2 linked regions of the Struthio camelus genome follow. The protein of the gene in region 1 purifies or fractionates together with the protein of each later gene. This does not show direct contact. Links are inferred from orthologs where the notes say so. Each region holds a gene or a part of one and is shown in the gene's direction. Other genes may lie near its edges.

Region 1 (9,449 bases):
TAAATATGGTATTTTTCTTCTCTTCCAAACCACAGTGCAATATCATATTTTGTACTGCTACAGAATCGTCGTACTTCAGTGGTGAATAACATTACCTACTAGCACACGCGGAGAAGACAACACTTGCTTGTCACTTTTTGTATTTTCCAACACACCACCGCAGTGTATGTCCTTATTTTTGCAGTCTCCTTAAACAGGTGATTACCCTTTTCATCTGCTTACCATGGCTCTCAGAGATTTTTTTTAAAAAGGAAAATAAGGGGAAAAAAGTCTCAGAAAAGACTAACAGAAAAGGGAGGGACTGTCAGAAAAGGGACAAAAAGTGTTCGCAATACACAGTACCTTGGATATACTCCGAACAGGAGAGAATCAAAGCAAAACAAAAGAAAACAAAAGGAGCAAAGAAAAATCCCTAAAAATCTGTATCAGTTGTTCAACGCCTTCTCCACTAGGTGGCAGCACAGATGCAGCTACAGCTGCCATGAAGCCAAACCAAAGGGCCGGCAGCCCCACCGGGAGGGGTTTAACCAAAGTACCAAGAAAAACACTTGAGACACCAATAGCTAAAACCCCAGGGAGAAACTCAAGTCAGAAGGAAAAAAAAAAAAAATCACATTTCCATTTCTACAGTGATCACTAGGTACCGACTCTATTCTTCTTTGGATAAGTATAATCTACTTGCTGTGTAAAATATTTTGCACTGGGGAGTATTTGAAGAAGACTGCTATTAAATGTATTAAATGTTTAGAACCTACTCACTCTTATCAGAAAGTGATTAAATAATGGTGACAAGAGCTAATAATTCACTATACTGTCATTACTACTCCCCTGAGAATTCCAGGCAAATTATCTTCAGGAAAAAAAGAAGAAAGACTGTATGTGCGATTAAAGTTCATACCCAACCTGATATAAAGCAGCACAGTTAACTACGAAAGATATACATCCCAGGTATTTTTCACCTTGTAAAAAGAACAGAGATGGAAATATTTCTACAAACCACATTTTGCCATAATCACACCTATACAATTCACTGATGTTATTTATGCGGTGAAGGTTATCAATCTTACTGCAGTAGAACTAGCAAGGTCTGCCTGACATTAGGACTCTATTTTATAAGAGACACCGTACATACAGGTAGTAAAAGACTGCATTATCTAACTACACCAGACTAGAAATAGTTGGGCAAGAAAATCAAGAGACAGACAAGTGAAGCGATCTGCCCAGAATCGCAAGCAGCAGAGGAGCTGGTTAAAAAAACATTGATACTGTTCATTGCCTCTGCCTGAGCAAAACACAACTTTGAAAGCCACAGAAACATTGTGCCACTGATGGACATAAAGGTAATTCTGCTCCTCCTCTTCCCTGCGCACCAACTGCTTCTTGTATGCAGATTGCAGAACAATCTGATGTCCCTAAATACAAACATCCTAAACCTAGCCCACTGGATCCCCACACCCTCTTCAGCTGAGCCTGTTCACCAGTCCACGCCATCTGAAACCCCTAACCTTCACTCTAACATGAAGTCTAATAATAAGCCTAACACTAAGCCTGCTCAGATAACCTCTCCCACAAGGAACACCAAGAACAGCCAGAGAAATTTCTATCCACAACTCTAAATCTGGAGCAACATTAACAACTGGCATTCAGGCCAACATGACATCAGAGCAGGAAGCCTAACCATAATGCTGCCCCTAACTATGCACTAGTAAAAAGGGGGGGGGGGGGAAATCTCCCTGTGGAATGAAGCTGAAAAACTAGTCACAATTGCCTTAAACAAAACTCAGCAGCTTGAAAGACCTCTTACATACCTGCGCAACTAAATTAAAACTAGCAGACAAAACAAGCAATAAAACACAATGCAAAACACATTATGTGTCATAGCCCACCACAACCCCTTAAACCCTGCAAGGAATTTCTTGCCATGCAATCCGAGGCAAGGAATTTCTAGTAGACAGAATTAGGCGCATAAAGGAGACAGCAGATGACAACAACCTTTAAGCTAGCCAGACCACTCCTTTTAAATCCAGCACAAACCTAATCTCATAGACTAATACTTACAAAAACCTTAATCCTAACTGCACTGAAACCCAGCCTCAGCTCTAAAGAGGCAACCCTGCCAGACCAAAATTATTAGTAAGAAGGTAGCCACTAACCATAGCAGCCCTAAACTTAGCTCAGCAACTTGTCATATACCTATTAAAAATCCAGGCTCTCCACCCAGTAACGGAACAAACCCTATCCTCAAATTATTCTTAACAGCAGAGGGGTTGTTTCTGCCAAACACAGAGCTATGTGGCGGCTCTTACAGCATCAGCTCTAACTATTATTTCCTTCAAAATCCAGGAAAGCCTAAACCTTGCTCCTAACCTTAGTGCAAATCTAATCCTGGAATAGCAATCTCTGCCAGACCCAACACCATAAGTGTTCACTTATGTAATGTGCTCACTTATGGTAATAGCACAAAAATCTATCTTCAAAACTATCTATTTTTTCTGCCAGCAAACGAGGTCCATTGGAACACTCTGTGACATAACCAAACCCAGATCCCAGTCTAGTATCACAGAGGCAACATCTTCCACTCCCAACATGAACACAGTACCCTTGAGTATAGCTATACTGACCCTTATATGCAGGAGAAACTAAGAACAGTACCACAACAAACTCTAAATGATCCCAAATGTGAGGCCACGGCGCTACAAGGAAGTGGCCAGCTTCAGAAACTCTAAGCATACTACAATAGGTCTTTAAAAAACCGGACTCTGCACTGAGTAACAAACAGCCCAGATTCTAGCTTTGACATTACATTAGCGTTACACGTCTAGGATTTAGTACTGTTGCCATCAATGCTTCCTGTATTCTAAGAGCAGGGTTAGAGATCCCTATGGTCTTGGTCATTTAGGATGTACTTTTGATGATTTTTAATACAAATCCAGATTAAGACTGTTACCAGAAAAGGTCCCCAGTCCACGGCTCTCGGCCTGGATATATGCATCAGCTTATCTTTAAACTTAAAACTTGTCTTATCTGCCTGTTGTAAATGGAACATAAAAAAGCAAAAATTACTCACTTCCCAAATCTTCTCTCCACATACTGTCTCTGACAAAGAGCATTCATTCTCATTACAACGGCGGATAAATCCACTCAGCGTGACCAGGGAAACCAGGATGTTGCTGCCTTTACAAACTGCTCAGCGCATTTGCTGGAGAAGGAGCATACTTGCTGTTATCTTTACGTTGGCAGTAATTGCCAAGAACACAGTACAAAAAATAAACCAACACATGTAATATGGAATAAGTGAGAAAATTCAAAAGCAACTGTTAAAAATGGTTAAGCGGGTGATAAGGTAATGTGACTGTGGAGCCTTTTTTCATATTTTTTGGATGACAACAGGACTGTCAAAATGTTTTCTCTTCGCTGATCAACATAAAAAACTGTTGTTAGCACTAGAAAATTGCTCACCATGATAACAGGTTTCACGTGCAATGAGCTCTTGATATAGATGTAGATACTTGGAAACAGAAAGCAAGCTCAGGAGCTCACGTCCATTGCCTGTTTCTTACAACGCATTGTCTACATTATGCGCACTTCACCGGCGCAGGGATACGTTTCTTGTTGTGTAATTTCCTCTATGTATGAGCACTTTATTGGCGCTGCCATACCATAAATCTTAACTCCTCGCATCCAGCCTGGAAGAGATAGGCCATAAAAAAATCCATGTTTTAAGACATTACTTGAGCATTCTCATTTCAGCCAAAGCTCTTTTGAGCTGCTATAACACTAATAATAATATACTGGGTCATTCAAAGACCGCAGGTTGTTTTCTTACAAAGATTTCCAGATGTATCTTGTTTTTTTTCCCCCTCAGAAATTATTAGTAAGCACACACACATTTGTTTCTTATTTTGAACACAGTCTAAAATTAATTTACTTTGCAGATTCAAGTATGTGCTTTGCATTCAAACCTTTTGAAGCTTATATTCTGTTCAAGGTGGCGAAAATAATTCCAAATATATATTCAGAAATTCTGAGAAAGACAAGAGCACAAATGCTTCTTATACCTAGATAGTATCTAAGCAAGACCAACTTAACAGTTAAATATAAGCTATCTTCCAACTCTCATGATTTTTATTGATAGAAAGCATACCTTTTTAAGGTGATGTTACAAGCTGAGCTAGAGTCCCTCAGGCACATAGGATGACGAGGGCACGACAGAAGAACATACGTTGTTTTTGTTCTTCCCTGTAATTCAAGTCTAATGTCACCTGTGATAAAGCTGCTGCTGAAAATCCTTTTTGCTGATCTTTAAGGAGGATGCCGGTCAATCTCCCGGGGTAGTAAGTTCTGCAAAAGGGAAAACACAGGTGCTCAAAATGTAATCAAAACAGCTGAGAGCATAGCAGGTCTCTGTCTTAACAGGAAAGAAATTGCAAGATGCCATGCTGAGACCAATAAAAGCCAAAGGCTGGACCCATGAAATAGTGGGATAGACCACAAAGGAAAAAGAGTTACAGCTACCCTAACATCCATGGCTATTGACTTATCATATAGCACTGAAATCAATGGCTTTGGAGAGGCTGTCCGCCAGAGGAAATTTTTCTAAAGCAAAAATACATTAGCAAATGTTTATAATATAGCTGCACCTGCAAATTTCACAAAAGCTGTGCAGTGACAAGACCGACTTGATGAGTTAACAGTCACAGCGCTAGGAAAATAATCTCTGCTTGTAACCCCAGATGTTCTCAGGGAAGGGGCTCCCCAAGAAAACAGAAGTGCTGCTGGGAGCCCTTCCAGCAGTAAAACATCAATGATATTCTCCAAGTTTCATACAACCTGCTGTGGCCAAACAGCTGTAAATGGACAATATTGGGACACTATGGGAAAGAGTACACTTCTTGCCATCGTCTTTATTAGGCAAATTATTTTAGCATTCAGAATGAACACAAAAAAAAGCCGCAGCCAGCAGGTCTTGTCCGACAGAACTGAACCGCTCCTTCCGTCTGGGTCAAACTTCTGGTTCTTCTAAATGAAGGAGCCCAGGAAACTGCTAGAGTCACTGTGAACGTGCTTCTGTTAAGAAAAACGTTCAAATGATGCTGCACTTATCCTTCAGCGTTCTGGAAAATGACACCCTGACCGGTCAAAGCGGTCAAAGCGGGGCGATGTTGTTTGCTCGATTCACTGAGCTCTACTAAAATACGACAGAGAGAACTCACTCTCCGACAGGGAGGGTGAGCGGACGAGCCTGACGTTTTTAAACCACTTTTGTTCTTCACAAAGACGTCCAGCACATCGATTACTTCTCGCTGGGGCACTTTCTCCCTCAGCATCTTTTCCTACATGAAGTCCCTCGGTTTGAGCTCCCCTCGCCCTTCTTTCGGCCATCGCTGCCTCAAGTCAACCCCGGACATAACCTCACCCTTCACAGACAGAGCTCAAACTGCTTTGCCAGCGGGATCCTTTTCACTAGTTTCTTAGTACATAAAATCCATATATCTCCTTACTTCTCAATCCCCCCCCCCCGCCCCCAACCGAGGGTCTCCGGCAGCCGTTACCCCTCCCCGCCGGCGCCTCACGCTCCCCCCCTCAGGGCGCCCGCCGAGGGAGGCCGCCCGGGCGGGGCGGGGCGCGGCGCGGCGCGAGCCGCGCCATTGGCGGAGCGGCACCACGTGGCCCGCCCTCCAGCCCCGCCCGTCGGCAGCGAGCTCCGTGCAGCTCCGCCGGGCGGGAAACGTCCCGCGCGGCCCCGCAGGACCCCGAGCGGTCCCTGCTAGAAGCTGCTTCAGCCGCCGATGGTGCCCCTTTAGGTGTCCGAGCGGCTCGCCGGCGGGCGTGTGTTTCCTTTCCCCGCGACCCAGGCGCAGGCGCGCAGGCGGCCGCCCCGGCGTGACGTCACGCGGCGCGCCGGCCGCAAGGACCCCGGGCGCGCCCTGCTGGCGGCGGTGGCGGCGGCGCGTTCTGGAAGGTTCGCGGCGAGGCGGCCGGTAGCGCGGGGCCCATCCGTGTCCATCGGCGCCGGGGCGGCCGGTAGCGCGGGCTCTGTTCGTGTCCATCGGCGGCCGGTAGCGCGAGGCCCGTCCGTGTCTATCGGCGGCGACGATGCCGGAGAACGCGGGGGCCAAGGCCCACGGCGGCGCCGGGAACCGGGCCAAAGGCACCTACCAGGACCGGGACAAGCCCTCCCAGATCCGCTTCAGCAACATCTCCGCCGGCAAAGGTGAGGCGCGGCGGGGGGCGGCCCCGAGCTCGGAGGCAGGCGGGGGGGCTTCCGCCCTGCCTGGGCCGCCGCCGCCCGTTCCCGGCCGGAGGAGCGGGGGTGCCTTGCCCCGGGCAGCCGCCTTGGCGTTGTTCGCCCCTGCCTTGCGGGGGGGAGGGCGGGGCGGGCTCGCTGCCTCGCCGGTCGTTCGTGCGCGGGGAGACTCGTTCCTTGCTGTGCAGCCTTTCGGCTGGGGTGGGGGGAAAGGAGGGAGGCAGCGTGCGGAGGGCAACGCCTTTCCGTTGTTTTCAGCGTTGAAAAGGCGTAGGTTTGCCGTGGTCGCTTCTCTCAGTGCCGGTGCTGGCAGCCAGCCGTTGTCTCCCTGGATGTTACGTGCTCCGTTGTATATCAGTGGGAGATGTTCTTGTGGTTATTTTTTTAATGGTAACAGGCTCATGGTGGTAGGACAAGTGCCTGTTGAGGGAAGCTAAATTTGGCATTTGATACAAACCCTGGTCGTGTTACTTGGCACAAAGCATTTCCCTTTAGTTTTAAAATGGGTCTAATGAAGTGATTGGATGCTAACTGATGTAAAATTCCAGCTATGGAAATCTGTATCCTGAAGCTACAACGTCTCGTATAATTTTGCTGTGCGGGCCGTTTAATACTGGGGGACGACTTCTCTATGGAAGAAATATTTAGAGTGATGGAGTGCTTGTAGTTTTTTAGATCAACTTGCAAATGTATTTCTTCTCTTCTAGCTGTCGCTGATGCAATTAGAACAAGTCTTGGACCAAAGGGAATGGATAAAATGGTAAGCCTTATGCTGAAATTTTGAAAACGTTAAACTTACTGGACACACTGTAATGTGAACATATTTGGCGTAAGACAACTTTTCTTGCTTTGAATTTTCTTTCTCAAGCATGAAAAATAGAATACTTTGATTTTTGTGACCCAATCTCCCTTACATAAAGGAACTTCTAAAATGTAAATTGTATGCACATCTGTTTCAGAAGTAATGTCGACAGGAAAATCCCTTGCGTTTAGCGCATCAACTCAGCTTCCAGATTTGTAATTACTAATCAGAACTGTGTTTTTCTTCCTCCTTCCTAGATTCAGGATGCTAAAGGAGATGTGACAATCACTAATGATGGTGCTACTATTCTGAAACAAATGCAGGTTTTGCACCCTGCAGCCAAGATGGTAAATATTTTTCCATAGCTTGGACAAGGTTACATGTTAGAGCTTCGTTTCCAGGACAGAAAATATTCGAACGTTTCATGTGAATTTGAGCAACAGGCTTTGCTTAGCATGTTTCAAGACTGTTTACCCTGATTATAAGGTCTGCTCAGAGTTCCAAGACTCTATTTCTTATCCTGTGTGCATGTGCGTAATCCCTTCTGGATATGTTTTAAGACATAAAAGAATCTAGCCTGATAACCTTCTCTCGGCTAAGAAAGAAAAGTCAGTGATGGCCTAAACCAGCAGAATGCAGAAGATTTAAAGAGAGTGAATGACGTTATGGTCAGGCGGTCCTAGGATGCCCTAGAACAGAATAGAATAGAATGTCCTTCGTGTCACGTTCTCTTCCCTGTCCCAGCCCCCACCACCCCAGCCGTGCTCAATAGTCAGGATAATTAATAAGGATATTAATTTGATCTGAGTTTGGGGGGTAAGGGGGAAAAGTCTTTCATAACAGACCAGCTTTGTAGCCAGTTTGTGTCTGACCACGTGCGCTAGAGTGAATGCGTGTGCAAGAAACAGCAGCCTGGCCTTTTGAGAGCTTAAATGTAGGCCTCCTAGATGTGAATTGTGGTTGGAGAGGGAAATGAGATACCTGTGATTCTGCTAAAGGAAAAGCTGGACCTGTTCAGTAGGTGTGATCAGCTCAAAGCTTGGCGGAGACACTTATTGACTTCTGTAGGTGGTTTGATTTACATCAGTTGTACTTCTGCCAAACGTGTGAAAAGTGTGATAAGTGAGTTGCAAAAGGTACAAATTTCAAATTAGGAAAGGCAGGATTGGTCCTGATAGTAAGGTTGGTCTCAGTCGCACTGCATTCTTGAATGTTTTTCTCTGTAATTGTCACTATAACCTTTTGTTATAATTTGTTGCGTAGTTGGTAGAGCTGTCAAAAGCACAAGATATTGAAGCTGGTGATGGCACTACATCTGTTGTTGTCATTGCTGGAGCTCTTTTGGATGCCTGTTCCAGACTTCTTCAGAAAGGTCGGTGTATGTTTTTCTTAACTATCTCTAGTCATGTTTTTATTTATATCCTATATTTCGTTGCACGTGTTTAATGAAGCTTAAATTAAATGTTTCCAGTCTGAACACGGAAAGTAACTCAGGTCTTCATATTCAGATTTCACCAGTGTCCCGGTTAGTTAAACAGTGACATTTTTTATATTTTGAGTAGTGACCACTTTACTTTTGATACAGGAAATAGCGTCTAGGTGATATGGCGAATGTTGCCTTGTAAAAAAACACCTAGATTATACTTGTATTTCTCTCGTGAACCGAGACGTAGCTCAAAAAGGTGTAAATGAAACTGGGAGCTGGTGAGTACAGTTAGTCTACTTTCAGCAGGTTTGTCACTTCCTGTCACTCACAGAGTAGGGTCCTTGAGAAAGTCCAGTCAGGAAAAGACGTGAACTTGTGGACAGCAAACGTTACTGTAGGCTGTGCTCTATTAGCTCAGGAATCGCCAGAAACAACCTGTCGTACATATGGGAATTAGAAGTAGTGGTTACAGTTGTTGCACTATGAATTGGCTTGATTAGAAGCACTTACCTCTATCGTGAAAACCCCTAGTACTTTTTGTGAAGTAGAAATTGTCCTATCAGAAGTTTAGAGGATAGGCTTTCTGGTCAAGAAACGATGCAGAAGGAAGCACACAGGTCCTGCATATCTAAATGCCGTATATCTGTAAAGCCATTAAACAGTAACCCAACTTACACTTACAAAGCAAAATGTTGACTTGTTTCACAGAATCACAGAATGGTTGAGGTCGGAAGGGACCTCTGGAGGTCATCTAGTCCAACCTCCCTGCTCAAGCATATTGCCCAGGATCACATCCAGACGGGTTTTGAATATCTCCAGTGTATTATTTGACACTTCTTAACCGTTTAGGGGGGATGTGTTTGTATTAAAACCCTGTCCATTATTCCTTTTTGGGGGGCCCAGTACTGACTTGATTCTGTAAAGCATTATTGATACCTTCTTTCCTCAGTTTTCTCTTACATTCTGCTTCCATC
Region 2 (8,843 bases), on another chromosome or scaffold:
TTGGGGCTGGGAGGTCGCTGGGGGGTCACGGGTCTGGGGGTGGTCTTTGAAAGCAGCACCTGGGTGCCGCCTCTGCAGAGTCGGTGGTCTCGGCCACACTGGACCCTCTGTGCAGCGTCTGGGCGCTCCGGACACAGCCGTGGCGGCTCGCGGAGCAGCAGCGGGTCATGGTAGCCACTCAGCTGTGGCAGGAAGGGTTCCAGCGCGTGGAGGTTTCCCTCTGGCTGCTCGCCCCAGGCAGGAGCAGAGCTCCATGTGTGGCACGAGCTGGCCTGACCTCAACCTCACTGCCGAGGGGCAGGTGCGTGGGGCAGACGGGTCCCCGCTTGCTCCGTCCCCCGGAGGGTGCAGGGCAACCTCTGGAGCTGCTTCCTCTGGGTCGGGAGCTGGGTGCAGCCCTGCCGCCGGCGGCAGCCCGACCCCTTGGTCTTGCAGCTGCTCCGAGGGCCTCGCTGGGGCTGAGCGAGCAGGTTTCTCCTGCGAAAGGCCAACTCCGCTTCGGGCCGGGGACTGCTGCGATACAACAGTTGCTAAAACCATCTCTGCTCCGTGAGCGCAGCTGGAAACCCCGCCGGGAGCGCGCTGGCTGCGGCGAGGGCTGGCGCTCTCCCAGCGCTTTCACCTCGAGGTCACGGGTTCAAATCCAGCCTGAGGTAGGGAGCGCCGTAAGTGGATGCTAGTTCTGATGGACGCGCGAGGGAGGAGGACTGAGGCGAAGTCGGTCTGGGGTGCTTTCAGGCTGGCGGCTCGGCGGTGGGCTGGGGGTCGAACAGACCACCAGGCTGCCGGCCGAGCACTCCCGGCTCACAGGGAGAGGGGTGGGAGCCGTCCCTGCCTGAGCCGGGGGTATGCCCCCCCGCGCTGCGGGACTCCAACCTGCGTTAACATGCTAGGAAAGAGCCTTTGGGCTGTCAGGTCCCCTGTGGCCCCCAGTGAACGCTGAGCTGAATCTTGCGCTCTGTTCCTGCTTTTGGGAGACGATCCACTCTCGAAGTGGGCTGGTTTCTCTCTCTCCCCATGGCAGCAGCAGAAAAGGCTCAAAAGTGCCTCTGCGGGGACTGCCAGGGTAGCCTCAGGCCCAGGGAAGCAGCGTCCCTGCTGCAGGCGGGCTGCCCTGCCCTGCAGCCTCTCCTGGCCCAGCGAGCTCCGGCCTGGGGCTTCCCCCGCCCAGCTGGTTAAGGATGGTTTGAGGCTCGTTCCCAGCAGCGAAACGACTTGTCGTTGTGCACGAGAGGCCGTGGCACGAGTGCGGGACGCTGGCAGGTGGCTGGGAAGCAGCTCCCGGCACGGGGATGCTCGGACGAGCTCTGCAAACGCCGGGCTGTTCGGGGGCAAGGAGCAGCCTCGCGACAGCCGCCGTCTGAAGAGCTCCGGCTGCGAGGGACGGAGAGCGGGCCCGGCGCGCGGGGCCTGGCTGCGGCAGTGCCATGCCCCCACCGCGGCAGCGCCGCCTCTCAACCGCGGCTTGGCATCGATTCCTGCTTGCAGCGTCCAGGGACTTGGCGAAGCTCCGCCGTCCCACATCTCTCCCCCTCCCACCTGCCCGTCACTAGACGCAGGAAAATGTCATCTTTCCTCCGTGGCGGGGCGAGCAGGCGCCAGCTTTTCACGGGGTCGCGCAGGTTTCCACACCTTCCTGCCCCTCCGCCCGTCGCCCCCGGCTCCTTCCCTCGGGCAGATCCCGCAGCCCCGCGGCAGCAGCGGGACCGGCCGCCCGGCTCCCTCCCGGCTCCTGCCCCCTCGCCCACCAGGCGAGCAGCCCTGCGGGTGGCAGCGCCTCCTCCCAGTTCATCACTAATGCAGGAGCGCCAAGCCCTTCCCGGCTGCAGCCAACGCGAGATAAAAGCTAAAAGAGGCATCAATAATTAAAAACCACTCAAAGCCGGTAAGTGCAAACAGGAGCCAACATACAGATCGAAGGCAGCGCCAGAGACGAGTGTCAGCTGCTGGGTTGCTTTAAGGGCTCCCAGACCTCCTTTGCGTGGGTTCCCACGGGTCCCGCAGCCAGGGGGTGACAAGGTGTCCCTGGCGCGGCAGGGACGCAGCGGGGGGTGCGGGCGCCCGGCCCGGCACGCCGGGGCAGCAGCGCCCCGGCACAGCGAGGGGACCCCTGATTTCGGCCAGTCCCCTCCCTCACTTTCCCCTCTCAGCTTGTCGGCTCCAGCGCGGGCTCCAGCCAGCACAAGGCCCCAGCTCGTGCCAGCTGCTGGCAGAAACGTGCCGGGAGGTTGGCGCTGCCTCCGGCGGGCGCCGCCGGCCCCAGGGCTCCCGACTCGAGGAGGCAGGGGAGGCGCTGGACGGGGGAGGGCATCGCACCCGCTCCCTGCTCCCGCGGTCGGGCGGGTGTTTTAGCGCGGGAGCAGAGGGAGCTGCCTCCTTCAGGGTCACCCGTGTCACCCCTGCCTGTGGAAAACGGGCCGTTTTGGGCAAGAAGCTTTGAAAACGCTCCAAAACGTCTTCTCAGGCCGAGTCCCTCCCTCCCGTGAAGTGGGTCAGGCCAGGCCCGTCACCCCTCGGGTCCTGCGCCGCGGGGCACATCTGCGCCCTCATCGCTCCTGCGCCCCGGGAGGCTGCGGGGCGCCGGGCGGGAGCCCAGGGGTGCCCCCCGCCTTGCCCCCAGCCCAGCCACCGCCGGCACGGCACGCGGCGAGGAAATAGCACAATTAATAAAAGATTAGGACGAAATGTGAGGCATGAAATATTTAACCTCGTGCCTGCCTGCACGGTGCCCAGGTACAGCTGGTTCTTGCAATATTTAAGGATAGTCCTCGCTCTGCTGCCACCGCCGGTGCGTGGCGGGGGGCCTGGGGACGGGACAGGACGGGCGGCCGGCCCTTTTGGGTGTCCGCAAAGGGGAAGCGGGCCGGCGGCCGGGCAGGCGGGGACCCTCGCGGGCCCAGGCTCCGGCTGCGTCCGGCAGGGCCGGCGCCTCCCTGCTTCCAGCCCCGAGCGCGAGGCGAAGCCCAGCTTTAATCGGACAACGATCCCCAAGATACTGGCGGCAGCGGCCGCAGCCGGCTGGCGGCGTCGCGGCCTGGGGCCGAGCCAAGGGCGGCCGGAGCCCGGCGGCCCGAGAGCGGCCGTGGTCGGGCCCGGGCGTCCGCGGGCCTCCGGCAGCCGCTTCCCTAATCGCAGCTCCTCCGAGGGCCGGGAAACACCCAAAGCGGGTGAAATCAGCCCAGAACCTCTTGCCGGCGAAACCCGGAGCGCGTTGGGGTTTGGGGTCTGCTTTCTCCTCCCGCTGCGGTGCTGGATTTCCCCCTCTGATTTCCTCCCTCCCTCCCCCCCGCCCCGAGAAGAGGAAGATTTTGGGGCGTTTTGCCCCAAATCGGAAACACCGGTGGCCTGTCCGCGGCCGCCGGTCCCGGGGCGCCGCGCCTCGACATCCCCCCTCCCCGGGGACTCGTCTGCCCTCTCGGGGGGATTCCGCGCGGTTTTGGGACTCGCCCCCCCCCCCCCGGGGCCGGGGGCCGCGCGGGGGCGCCCCCGCCGCCGGGCCGGGCCGCGGCCCACGTTACTTTGAGTGGCAGCCGGCGGCCGCCCGCAAGGCCTTGTGGGCGGCGCAGTCCGCCCGCGCCGGGGCCGGGGCCGGGGCCGGGGCCGGGGCCGCTCCCGCCCGGCGGCTCCGGCCGCCCCCGCCCCCGCCCGACCGGGAGGGCGCCGCCGCCCCGGGCTGCCGCGGGCGGGAGCGGCCGCAGGCGGCGCGGCGGAGCGTGGACTACAGCTCCCAGCGTGCCCCGCGGTGCCCCGCCCCGCTGCTTCTGATTAGCCTCAGCGCGCGGTGACGTCAGGGACCCATGTGGGGGCGACGCGCGGCGATTGGCCGGCGGCCCCCGAGGCGGCCGCCAATGGCAGGCGCGGCTCCCGCGGCCGCGGTTTAAGGTGGATCGGGGGCGCCATGGCGGGGGGCGCCCCGGTCCCGGCCCCGGTCTCGGGGTGGCTGCTGCGGGGCCGGGGAGGGGCAGCGGCCCCGGGAGTCGCTGTGCGGCGGCGGCGCGGCCCCGTGCTGCCCCCCGCCCCCGTCCCTCGGGCGCCCGGTTTGGTCCCGCTGCCCGTCCAGGTCCCTGCTGCCCTGCCCGCCCAGGTGCCCGGTCTCGTCGCGGTCCCGCTGCCCGTCCCGGTGCCGGTCCCAGTCCCCGCTGCCGATGCCGGTGCCCGTCCCGGTGCCGGTGCCCGTTCCGGCGGGGGCGCGGTGCGCCGGGCCGCGGCAGCCCCCCGCCGCCTGCTGCGGGAACGCGCCACCTTAAGCGGCGCCGGGGGCTGCGCCGGGAGGCGGCGGTCGCCCCGGCCGGGGACGCTGCTCGGTGCCGGCCCGCTCGCGCGCCGGCCTCTTCCCGCCGCCCGCCCGCCGCCCCGGCCCCATGGGCAGCCCGCAGAGACCCCGCTGCCGTCGGGGGGAGGCGTCCCCCGCCCGGCTGCCCGGCGGCGACGGGCTGCCCCCGGCCTGATCCCAGCCGAGCCCCGACCCCCGGCCCGGCCCCGACCCCCGAGCCCCGACCCCCGGACCGGCCCCCGACCCCCGGACCGGCCCCCGACCCCCGGCCCCCGGACCGGCCCCGACCCCCGGCCCGGCCCCGACCCCCGGCCCCGACCCCCGGACCGGCCCCCGACCCCCGACCCCCGGCCCGGCCCCGACCCCCGGCCCCCGACCCCCGGCCCGACCCCCGGCCCCGACCCCCGGACCGGCCCCGACCCCCGGCCCGACCCCCGGACCGGCCCCGACCCCCGGCCCGACCCCGACCCCCGGCCCGGCCCCCAGCCCAGCCCCCGACCCCCGGCCCGGCCCCGACCCCCGGCCCGGCCCCGTCAGCCCGGCCCGAGCTCCGACCGGGGACCGGGGGCGGCAGCGGGCGGCCCGGAGAGGGGCGGGCGGGGGCCGGGCCCGCAGGATGTTCCCGCAGGGGCGGCACCCTGTGAGTACCCGCGACCGGCGGCCCGGGGGGCTCGGGGGGCCGCGGCAGCCTTCACCAGCCGGCCCGGGCGCCCTCTCTCCCCAGGCTCCTCTCCCGGCCGGGCAGCCCTTCAAGTTCTCGGTTTTGGAGATCTGCGACCGCATCAAGGAGGAATTTCAGTTCCTGCAGGCTCAGTATCACAGGTGAGGGGGGGCCGGGCAGCGGCAGGGCCTGGACGAGGGGTCCTTGTTTGGCCGGAGGGCAGGAGCGGGGCAGGAGGGGCTGGGGGCCGGGCTGTGCTGTGAAGTGGGGGCTCAGGGTGGGGGGAAAGGAAGGTCCGGGCAAAGGAGGACAATGGGGGCCGGACTGAGGGGAGCATTAGGGGCAGGAGAGGATGGAAGAGGGGTCCTGGTGAAGGGGTGATCGGGGTGCGCAGGGAGAGGGGTCTAGACTGAGGGGCAGACTGAGGCTGGGAATTGGGGTGCCAGGTCCTGAGGGGGCCCCAAGGCTTGTGCCAAGCCGGGCGTAGGGAAGCGTGGAGGGGAGATGGACCCGTGCCGCGGAGATGGAGCAAGGGGTGGGCTGAGATGGAGCAGTCCCGAGGGGAGCAGGGGCTGCATGGGCAGCACACGGCGCAGCCAGCCCCACGGGTCCAGGTCCCTCCGGAGGCACCGAGGACCAGGACAGCAGCAGCAGTCAGCGATGGGTGCGTGACACCCTTGTGGTGCCATGAAACTCTGGGGGCAGAGATGGAGTCGGGGGAGAGAAAGGTAGAAGAGCCAAGCTTTCTGAGACCTGGGGTGGGGGTGGACACAGGGGGACAGGGCAGGGGAGGTGGGTCCGTGAATGAAAACCAGGGATCCTCTTTGCAGCCTGAAGCTGGAATGCGAGAAGCTGGTGAGTGAGAAGACCGAGATGCAGAGACATTATGTCATGGTAAGTCCCCCCTCTGCTGTCCTCCACGCCCCCAAAGTGTCCTCGACCCCCAGCCCTCCTGGCGAGGGCCCGGGGCCGGAGCTCCTCTCAGTTGCTCGCCCAGCTGAGACGCGGACTTCTGCGGGCCACTGCCGCTAAGCGGATCTCTGGCCTACGAGGTTGTCCTGGGGCTGGGGGCGTGAGTTAGGAAGGAGTTAATCTGTATTCCTAGCAACGGGCTGGCTCTTCTGCTGATGTCTGCTGCCGTGCTTGATGCTGTCTGAGCCCAGGAATCATGCCATAGGTTTCTTCTCTTTTATTTTCTTTTTTTCCCTTTTTCTGTTTGGCCTCTTAAAGATAAAGGTCTCCTCCCTGTCTCTCTGCCAAGAGGGGATGTCTTGGAAGTGATACCCCGAGGCTGATGTTTTGGTGTTTTGGATGGGAGGGGAAACTGCCTTTAAAAAGAGCAGGGCAGGACCCCTCTGCAGTGGCCAGCCCACCGGTGCGTGCCAGGCCTCTTGCTGGGCAGCTTGGGGCAGGAGGAGGGGTGGCACTGCTGGCCGGAAGCTAGGAAAATGAGAATTGGAGAACTGGAGTAACATTACCTCTCCTTCTGCATCTGACATTACCGGCCCCTCCAGGGGAAGGGGGAGACACAAATTATCCCCCCTCCCAACAACAAACAGACCTAAACCTGGGCAACCCCATCCCCTGGGTGATGGCTGCCCTATTCCTGAGGCCGGGGGTATCAGGATTTATCAGCATGGCAGGATGTGTTAGTGCCACCCCATCAGCTGGGAGCCTCTCCCACCTCTCGCCACCTCGGGGACTCCTGGAGGTGGGTTGCTGTGTCTGAGATGGGCTTTGCTGGAGGAAAGCAGGTCCTCTGGCCCCAGGGGCAGCTTTGAACTCACTGCCCGCCTTCTCCCCGGCCTCAGGGGAGGTGGGACAGAAGTCTGCTGGCTGTCACCACTGCCAGAGTCGCAATTGGCTTCAGCTGGTGAAAGAGGTAACCTTACGTCATCTTTTTCTTTGCACGGGCATGACAGCCCGTGTGACTAGATGGGAAGCTGCATCAGGGAGTCGATCTGGGTTAGGAGCAGGAAGGGACAGGCCAGGATAGGACCCCCTTTCCTTGCCTCCGGTCTGACCTACACACTGGTCTATGCTAATGCAGAATCTAGGGTATAATCCTCAGTCTGCACCTCGGCGGCACCCCCAGCTCGTCCCAGGCGTTGGTTGGAACTCACGGTGTGATGAGTTTGGGCGGGCGTCAGCCCATCGCTTTCGCTCAGCTCTTTCCCTGGACCCTGGGGCTGGCCAGAGCAGGGACCGCAGCAGCAGGGTTATGCTAGAGGAAGTTTGACAGGGGAAGCAGAGATGGACTGGATGTTAAACCCCTGGCTGAAATGGGCTGATTGCTCAGGGCAAATGCTAACCAAGCTGCCCTGTGATTTCCTTTCAGTATTATGAAATGTCCTACGGGCTGAACATTGAAATGCACAAGCAGGTGAGTGTTTTCCAACAGACCCCAGCTCAATCTCCCTTGTCTCTGTGTCCCTGTTAGTGGCATGGGAGAGCTAGCGCAGCTGTGGGTGAGGGACTACCTTGCAAAGGGCTTGAGCAGTTGTCAGGACATGTGGTACTGAGCTCTGGTAGATACCTTGGGCGGAACCTCCTCCCAGTGATCCCAAAGCACCTCTCGAAGTCTGGCCTTGCATCCTGCAGTCCCTGTGTGCATACCTGCCAGCAATGGTTCCCTGGGGCCCCAGACGCCGGAGGGAGTGTGGAGGAGACAGCAGGAACTGGAGCCCGGAGGCAAATGGATTGCCTTTCTTTTCTTTCTTTTTTTTTTTTTTAATCCCCTTTTCCTTTCCTGAAGCCAGAGGAGTGTTTTCACCCTTCCCCAGTTCCCCTTTTGTTCCAGCGTTAATTTGCTTTCCCTCTTCAGATTTATCAATCTAGTCATCACGGGCTCTCTGCCAGTGAAATTAGTTTGGACCAATGCCTGACAAAGTGGCAAGTCAACTGCCATATTCCTCCAGCTGGCTCAGCCCCTCCGAGTTTGCTCCTTTTGTTGGCAGGGAGGGCTGTAGAGCCCTCCAGCACGTTCCTGCTGTCCCCACGTGCTCCGAACTCTGGTGGGACTGGGATCCAGGGGAGCCGCCCGGGACCCGGGGGCTCTCCCCGCAGGGCGGCAGGGAGGCGGATGGCTGAGGGGTTGGAGACGGGTGGGGGGCTCGGGCCCGGCACGCCTGGGTCCTGCTGGTGGCTGCGGGCACTACGAGGTCACCCGGACCGGATCTGCCCCTCCCGGGTGGGAGTCGGGAGTCGCGGCCAAGCAGCAGCAGGCTGGATCGGGGGGGACGGGGTGTCTGGGGGGTGACAGGGTGTTTGGGGGGACGGGGCAGGCGGGTGCAGGCTGCGCTGCCCCCCGCCCCGGGCAGGGAGCTGCATGACTCCCACAGCCAGGTAGACGTCCGTCCCCTTTGTTCTTTGCCGCCTTTGTGTACGGTTTGACCTCTCTGCAATGCTGTCAGAGATTGTAGAAACCTGAGATGAAAAAACACCTCGGAGCAGCCAATCCCTTGGCTGGCGAGCGCCGGGGGGGGGGGGGGGGGATTTCCAGCGGGAGAGGCAGGTTTGTTTTGGAGCAGGTGGCCCAGGAAGCTGCGGCCCCTTCCCTTGGGAAGGGCCCCTGTCCCCGGGGAGGGGTTCAGCAGGGCTCGTTGGGACACCCCGAGGTGCACCTGGCTTCTCGGTGTTTCCCTTGCTGCCGTTTGCTTTGGGGGGGGGGGGACAGATAAATCATGGTGCCCTGTGCCTCAGTTTCCCTCTCTGTAAAGCAGCAGTTGGCACTGCCTGGTTGGCCATGGTGGTTTTGAAGGGGGTGGGAGCTCCTGATCCGGCCAGGGCTGGGGAGGGCAGAGCAGGTATCATCACTAGTGCCGTGCAGGGCTTGCTGGGAAGATCCAGAAGAGATGGGGGGGGGGAGAGAAAGCTGAATTAATTTGTATGAATTCCCCCTCCCCTCGT

Evidence for each region.
Region 2: the proteins of CCT4 (region 1) and TLE2 purify together in Homo sapiens (affinity purification with mass spectrometry; 3 studies listed by BioGRID and IntAct, with this or other methods). This does not show direct contact. The link is inferred for Struthio camelus from reciprocal best matches to the Homo sapiens genes CCT4 and TLE2.

The regions. Positions count from the first base shown.
Region 1 is NC_090944.1:131,134,967-131,144,415, forward strand, and holds the start of CCT4 (T-complex protein 1 subunit delta), read left to right. Parts: upstream 1-5,656; 5' UTR 5,657-6,096; coding exon 6,097-6,214; intron 6,215-6,954; coding exon 6,955-7,007; intron 7,008-7,306; coding exon 7,307-7,396; intron 7,397-8,312; coding exon 8,313-8,421; intron 8,422-9,449. UniProt on the Homo sapiens protein: Component of the chaperonin-containing T-complex (TRiC), a molecular chaperone complex that assists the folding of actin, tubulin and other proteins upon ATP hydrolysis.
Region 2 is NC_090967.1:7,794,195-7,803,037, reverse strand, and holds the start of TLE2 (transducin-like enhancer protein 2), read left to right. Parts: upstream 1-4,781; 5' UTR 4,782-4,889; coding exon 4,890-4,913; intron 4,914-4,997; coding exon 4,998-5,095; intron 5,096-5,764; coding exon 5,765-5,828; intron 5,829-6,065; exon of another isoform or gene 6,066-6,080; coding exon of another isoform or gene 6,081-6,111; intron 6,112-6,745; coding exon of another isoform or gene 6,746-6,816; intron 6,817-7,272; coding exon 7,273-7,317; intron 7,318-8,843.